Linked DNA regions of Xenopus tropicalis. The protein of the gene in region 1 interacts with the protein of each later gene in a pairwise test. Links are inferred from orthologs where the notes say so. Each region holds a gene or a part of one and is shown on either strand. Other genes may lie near its edges.

Evidence for each region.
Region 2: the proteins of casp10 (region 1) and riok3 interact in binary tests that used the Homo sapiens proteins (3 or more experiments, as listed by UniProt). The link is inferred for Xenopus tropicalis from reciprocal best matches to the Homo sapiens genes CASP10 and RIOK3.

What each region holds. Positions count from the first base shown.
Region 1 is NC_030685.2:53,955,026-53,958,676, reverse strand, and holds part of casp10 (caspase-10), read left to right. Parts: intron 1-807; 5' UTR 808-847; coding exon 848-1,143; intron 1,144-2,826; coding exon 2,827-2,877; intron 2,878-3,651. UniProt on the Homo sapiens protein: Involved in the activation cascade of caspases responsible for apoptosis execution. Recruited to both Fas- and TNFR-1 receptors in a FADD dependent manner. May participate in the granzyme B apoptotic pathways.
Region 2 is NC_030682.2:109,055,319-109,059,535, reverse strand, and holds the start of riok3 (serine/threonine-protein kinase RIO3), read right to left. Parts: upstream 2,939-4,217; 5' UTR 2,645-2,938; coding exon 2,606-2,644; intron 522-2,605; coding exon 400-521; intron 1-399.

The sequences.
Region 1 (3,651 bases):
GCTTCTTTCTGCCTGCCTACAAAATGCGGGCTGAAGAAAGCAGACCCTACAGTTAGTGTAACCTTGCCCTCTGGAGCGAGGCATCAGCCTGAAGGGGAGCTGGGTTTCGTTGTGCATGTTGCTGAGACTGGGGTGGGGTGTAGTGGATGGCTGATGAGGGCAGGGCTGATAAAGTGCACAGCAGCACATAATGGTTGTAAGGCATGCATAAACACAGTTACTTATACATTTCACAAGAGCAAAATGTTGTAGTTTATTAAAAAAAAAAAGTATTGTATTATGCTAATAACATATATAACATATGAGGCACTTTTCAGTAGTCAGGGGCCACTGTGAGGTCTTGTGTGCTAACCCCATGAACTCCTCACCAACTCCAAATAATATTCACAGGCTATAAGCAAGTTCAACAGCATAACAAAAATGCACCAGCCCCCCCACCTTCGGAGAGGCCAGGAACACAGCTGCCTAGCTGCCCCCTCATCCCTCCGACTCACAGGTGCGAGCGCCCCTCTGCTGATAATTTCCAGGACTAGAGCGGCTGTAGAGGAAGAAGAACCCATGGTCTGGACCCTGATCTCTGCCACTGAACTGGTGTTTAAGGAAAATGGGCCAAAATGCGACATATAATGCTGAAACTCTGGCTTAAAATCTGAGAAATGTTTACTTTAAAATATAGTATAAAATGAAGGGCCTTCAAAAAAATGTCCTGGAAGGATCCAGGAAAACAAAAATGGGGGGTTTGACTGTATATTAATTTACTAAATTTACTAAAACTGAATCTTTATATTTCTATATCTCTTTTGTTAGGTGGAGCTGACACTTACCCTGCACCTCTGCACTTTCTAAGATGGATTTCAATTCTATGCTTCTAAGTATTGATGATGGATTAGGACGAGAAGATATAGAGGCTTTAAAATTTCTCTGCAGGGATGTCCTCAGGAAAAATAAATTGTTGTCTGTACGGTCTGGCCAGGAACTTTTTCAGCAACTCATGACCGAAGATTTAATAAATGAGGACAATTTTTTTCTGTTAAAGGAACTTTTATACATTATTAATCACCACAGCCTCCTCCGTAATCTTGGCACAAATAAAGAGAAAGTGCAGAAAGCTCTTCCACGCCAGGGGAGAATATCACCTTATAGGTATGATGTCCTCTATTTCATATGGATTATATTATAAAACTAACAGATCAGGAAAAATAGTACACTAATAGGTTAAATTAAATTTTTAATTCATTATCCCGGTGGGCCCAGGTCCACCCCCTGCTGGCTTGAACTTGTGCCTTATAAAATAGATGCAACATGATGTGTGTGTGTGCGTGCATGTATGTATGGGGAGCTTGCTGTAAGTCCAACCTTGGGTACACTTATTATGGAGTGCTCCACTAGTATCCTGGGCTGGTACAATTTTCAGCAACATGGGGCTCCTGCCTGGGGACTCAAATAAGTGATTATCAGTGGGGGTAATGTTTGGTTACATTAACTGTGAATGTTCCAGATAAAACACTTTCTTTTTCATGCAGGTTTTAATCACACTAGGGATTTGCAATTGGTCTTTATTTTTTTTAAAAATTTGTTTTGGTAGTATCCCGGGCTAGTGCAGTTTTCAGCAAACTGGAGCATCTTTCTGAGGTCTCAGATAAGTCTTAGTCAGTGTGGGGTGCTTAACAAATTGCCACTCCCCAGTGATTGTTCTGCTTTTTAATAATTTGTTAAGTCAACTGAGCTTTATCAGTAGTTACTAGTAAAAAACATGATGTTCCAGATTAAATAATTTCTTTTAAATGCAGGTTTGAATCATTCTGGTGATTGGTAATTCGTCTTCGTTTTTCAATTTCTTGTTGTGTATTAATTATTTATTTTTTCCGCAGCTCCCCAGTATAGAATTTCGAATGTTATATGGTTGCACGGTTCTCTATTAATCTAGCAACCAAGAAGTGGTTAAAAAGATTGGAAAATGGTTAGAAGAGAGTCTGAATAGGCAGATAAGCAATAAAAAGTAACAATAATTATAAAACTTACGCTTTAAAAGGGCAAAAGGGGCATCTGCCCAGGGCCCATTGACTGTGCCACTTTTATTTTCTTGCTATCCCCCTGGCCCTAAGATATGTGACAAGTGTAACCCCCCTTACCACACCGGGTATTTACCAGCCAGCACACATATATAAAAGACATGCATATGCTAGAGTGTAACGGTTGACACGTGACAACGCACTGTAGGCAGTGCTTGTGGTTTTCAGCAACTATATGCTGTGACATAGCCAGGCCTGCTGGTGTGCAGCCTCAAAGGAGATATATGGGATAACTTAAACCCCCTCCAATCTTGTAGCAATAATGTATAATTTATGGTGCTGGTTTCACTTTGGTCTAACAAATTAATATTGTCTTTAAAAATGGCCCCTTTATTGGAGCTCCCTATAGATCTGCTACGGTCCCTGTCCCAAATAAGGGGTGGGTGGTCCCTGTCAGAAGCACAATAGTATGGTCTGCACAGCCCTGCAGTCACACAAGCAAAGACAGGCTTCAGTTCCCTCTCAGGTCAGTCTAACTGCTGATTGGTTCCTATCCTACAGTGTAAATGCCACCATTCCCCCCCCCCCCCTGCACAGCCTAGGAAAGGAGAGTGCATGAAGTGGAACAGTTGGGCAAGACTACCAGGGTTTTTGCAGATTTTTTTTACTAAACACAACTATTTAAAGTACATTCCTTTTATATTTAAAGGAGAAGGAAATTTAAATCACTAATAAATGTACTGGCCCAGGATATTTCTGCAGATAAAACTTGTCGCCATCTTCTTCGGAATGTTCCCTCTTCTTTTCATTCCAGTTGTGGCAGGCACATGCGCAGTAAAGGGAAAGCCGAACTTAGAAAGAAAAGGTAAGACTCTTTGACTGTAATGCGCATGCCCGTGCTCCGGTGAAAAGAAGAGAAGGACAAATTATTGTGCAGAAATACCCCAGTCTGGTGCAGTTTTCTGCTAACAGGGTTAGTATCAGGTAAGCTATTACAATCACTGCCTACTCCCTAGTGATTTAGACTTTCCCTCTCCTTTAACCCTTTAAGTGCCACACAACATACTATCTGGGTTTGGGAGCGGAGGAGCACTTGTTCCGTTCCTTCCCCAGCCCCTAGGCAACGAGTAGAGGTGGGGAACAAATGGCCCCTGGGGCATGATCACCCAGGGGCCCCTAGGCAACAGCAAGCACGTGGTTACTATGTGCCTGCTGTTGCTTGCACTTTCTACCCACCCCCCCCAGTGCGAATACTCATAGAATCTGCAGGAAAGATGGCTCCTCCTGTTCCTGGGTTCCTCCTGTGAATCTCTAGCCTGCTTCTCTAGCCTCCCCAGGTTAATGTCACATACACATGCAAACACACACTTACTACACTAATACACACTTATACTTACACGCACATATACATTTTGGGGGGATTTAACACATTCACAGCACTCACACTTAGGGGCTAATTTACTTATTTACGAACGCCCCGACCGTTCGCTCGATCGGTCCAATCATATTTTCCGCGACTTTTTCGTACCTTGCATGACTTTTTCGGCGCTTGTGCGACTTTTTCGTATTTTCAGTGCGAAAAAATTGGATTGGATTTGCCGCTGTTTACAATAGTTCGGTACGAAAATTTTGTGACTTT
Region 2 (4,217 bases), on another chromosome or scaffold:
ACTGATTCAGGGAGGGAATTCAATTTTGAATTCAAATGGAACCTCCTTTCTTCTAATCGGAATGGGTGCCCTTTTGTCTGCTGGAAGGACCTACTGGTAATTAAAACAATTAGAGAGATTATATATAATCCCCTTATATATTGAAACATAGTTAGCATATCACCCCTTAATCACTGCTTCTCCTGTGTAAACAACTCTAGCTTGGCCAGTCTTTCTTCATAACTGAAAACCCTTTACATTTTTCTTAGTATGTTAAAAGGGTTAAAGTGCAATATTTCTACTTAAATCATTCTTCATATGTTTTATCTTTCATGTACAACTTTCATTTGCTGCAAATATACCGACAACCTGAATACTAAACAGTGTAATGATTTGGATTGTATTTACAGTGTTACTTACAGAACCTCCTCTGGGAAAACATGGCTCTCTTCTTCCAGTTGGAGTTCCCTTGCCAGCTCCTCACTCATGACCTCCGCCAGGGAGCACTGAACTGCAGGCTTTGCAGCAACACCCCAGGGGCTCTAACAATACAATTAATAGGCAATATTACATTATTCCACACTTCATCTTTTTTGGGATGGATATTAATGAAGGAATTATATTATTTGTTTATATGTTTATTAAAGGGGAGATGGACCCTCTTTTTCCACAAGCTCAATATACAGCGCTTGTGCTGAACATATTTTTTCATATTTTTTTAACTAGGAAAAATTTAGTTTTCCATTATGTCTAACACTAAACAAGGCAAAAACAGGAATTTAAACCACTTTCAAACTTTCTTTTGTTTTTGTGAGCAACTGTCGCTTGTCTATAACTATAAGTAGGTAAACAAATTACGTCTCAAGGAGCCCACTGTATGAAAAGCTATTTCATATCTCAATTTCTGACAAAGGCCTCATCTTAGGAAAGGGAGGATTTTGTTTAAACAGAGCTCAATATCCCCAACTGGAACAAACTATCCTCAATTCAGGAGAAGGGAATAAAGGTAAAACACAATAATCTATTAGAGTTTTATAAATGAACCAGCCCAGGGAACTTTCTAGAGTTCACAAGGGATGACTGGGAGAGTGAAGTAAAAGGGAGTGCACTGGACTAGGGAGAAACTTAATTCACTAGGCGTGCCTAACATTTTGAACACCAATAAATTAGGCTTTCTTTCTTCTTTAAGAAAAATCCATATTTTCGTCATTTTGTTTTCCTACATGAATTAGGCTTTTCTTATTTGCGCCTTTAAAACCAATAAATCCAATAAATAAAAATACCACAGATTTTAAACAGAGAAAAAGCCACAGATACAAACTGACATACCTTACATTTTGCTGCACATGAATGAATAAAGCTACCCAAATTGAAATGAATAGCCCCCCATGACACCAGACTAGGGAGAATAAAGGGTAGCAGTGTCACTCTGGTCAATAAGTTTCCCCTCTGTGACATGTAATCTGGCCTTCCATTGGCAACAACGATGTACGTGCGATCTCTAAGCTATATAATTAGGTGATATCACAGAACAGAAGATTATACAGTCATCTAAATGTGTCACTGCTGACTCACAGAGTATTTCCCAATGTATATTTATAGCATCAGCTCAAACTTTCGTGCAAAGACAAAGTAAATCACAGGCCATAAAGCAATGGCTCCAGTACCGGCTGACAAACCTGACCTATCAGGACACTGAACAGTTAGTGCGGTTGTTGGGCGCTTGCAATGCATACAGTGCTGCATACATAAGTAGCCCTATACAAATAAACACAAAATACCCACATATACAGAGAATTACATTTGTTACAGAAGTGCTTAGTCATACTTATTTACTGGACAGTGGAGTATGTACATTTACAGCCTACTGTAAATAATATAATGGGCTGGAAGTCTATGGACTTTGTTGTACCCATGTGACCCCAGGAAATTCACTAATAGTGAGAGAGTAACAGTCTGTAGGTCTCCATAGAAAAGCCTCTAACATGTATTGGCACTAGGTAATCAGGTTTCTTTCAACCACCATGATGAGTAAATATATATCCCATAACTCAGCTAAGTAAATGGGAAATGAAAACCATGTGTGCAAGCCTCCTTGTACTTGTACCTTTATTGCACACTTTTATTATATTTAATATTTGTATTTTTTTTTGTCTATGTCAAGTTGGGAAGAACACGGTTAAAAAATTTCATTACAGTAATGATGCTTCATTGTTATTTGTATATGACAATAAACTTGAAACTTCTTTAAATGGAAACACTGGATATCATATCACTTTACTTACTGCGGTGAGTGTGTATACATTATATATATATATATATACACACATATACATATACACACACACACACACATATATATATATACATATATACACACATACAAACATATATACACACACACACACATATATATATCCTAATTAACCTTATCTGACCCCGCCCCCTAGAAGGCATAGGGTTTAGTGCTAGTATAGTAAACTAGTAAAAGGACACATGAACGACTACATTAACTACTTCCCTACAGCTGTTACCTAACTACAACTCCCAGAATTCCCTAACAACCCTGCTATGAGTCGTTTACAGCAGTGGGCGAGGGGGTATAGAAAGAGCCTGTACAACTTACCGGCCGGGTTTCGGGTGCGATGATTCCACCTTGATCCATCTTCTCATTCAGCCTAGTATGGGTGCCGGGGGAGAGAATGTCGGGCTCAGTAAGTAGAGGAGGAGGAGCTCGGAGCAGACTGTCACTATGACTATATGAGGTCTGTGTCGCCTCGGAACGTGCCCGGACTTGTCTCAGTGCGGCTGACACTGAAAAAGAAAGTTAATTCTCGCAGAGCTACACTAGTCTTGATATTAATAATACAGCTACCTATATTTTATAATGAAAAGCGGAAGGTTAGGCTGCGAGTGACAGTTAAGAAGAATCAGCACCAGCTCCTGAGAACCTGCTCTCTACTCGATGGCCGCTGCGGATCTAGGCTGAAGCAATGCATCTTGGGGGATATGACTTCACCCAGTAACTGGGCGGAACTGCGCGTCGAACTGTAATCAATGGGCGGGAGGAGATATGCGGCTTTCTGATTGGCTGCGAAACACTGAATAGGTGGTGACTTAGGTTGAGCTAAAGGCATGAAGTATCTGATGTATTAGAAGAGATAACATGTATTACTGATGCTGTCATACGTATATTCCTTACCTCACTTAACAACCAGAAGGGCCTACATAAATAAATGACAATGATTGTTGCGCAAGCAGCGTGGCACTGCTAACCTGTCAATCCTCCGTAAAGGGGCGGGGCGCGGAAAGTGACAGTGTGTTGCTATTGGAGAAGCGAGTGAGCGACGTGTCTGTGTCATGGCTGCTCCCAGTTGAGTGCTGTAGTGTAGTTCTCAGCCAAGCCAAGTTCATGTTCAAGTGGCGGCAGCTCCGGAGGGTATGCGGTGACAGATGTATTTTAGGGGACCAGCGGTGGGTCTCACCTTCTGCTGCTTTTATTTGTCTTCGTACTTCACAAATAAGGTGAGATTTGATCATTTAGAGATTGGTGTAGTAGTAATTAAGCTTGCAGGGTTTGGTTTAGGGCTGAAGAACTTGCTACTTAAGGGCTGTTGTTGTACTACACCTGATAGTAACTGGAGGGTACTAGGTTGAAGAATCCTTATTTATGCTTCCATTATCATAATTATTGTAATAAAGAAACCTTCCAGGTAGCAGTTCCGCTCACTATATATATATATATATATATACAAGAGCCGAGCTCACTGGGAAGCTCCTTGCTTTTTTAATGAAAGCATAAATAAGGCTTATTCAACATACTACCCTTCAGCTATTTTTTTTATCCCCCCTAATATCTGGGCAGGCATTGATATTCAGCTTTTGCATTGCTTCCCGTCTTACAGTTCAACGCCGATACAAATATTCACTCAGTTTAGTCAGTTCATTACACTCCTGACTCTAAAAGTGGCCACACAAAGTGGCGATCTGCGATGGTCGCACGAAAGATCCTCAGATCCGCCACTAACCTTCAGGGCTGAAATGGCAGATAAGGAGGTACAAACAAAAGGATATCTACCTCCTTCTGCCGATTCAGCCCTGACGGCAGATTTTGCTCAGGCGCCTTCTATGGCGCCCGATCAAAATCTTTTTATCAGCAGCCTGCGACTCGCCAACTTGCCATACACGTACCGAATATCGTACGAAACAAGGGTGTTGCAGGCTGCGACTTCTGCTCT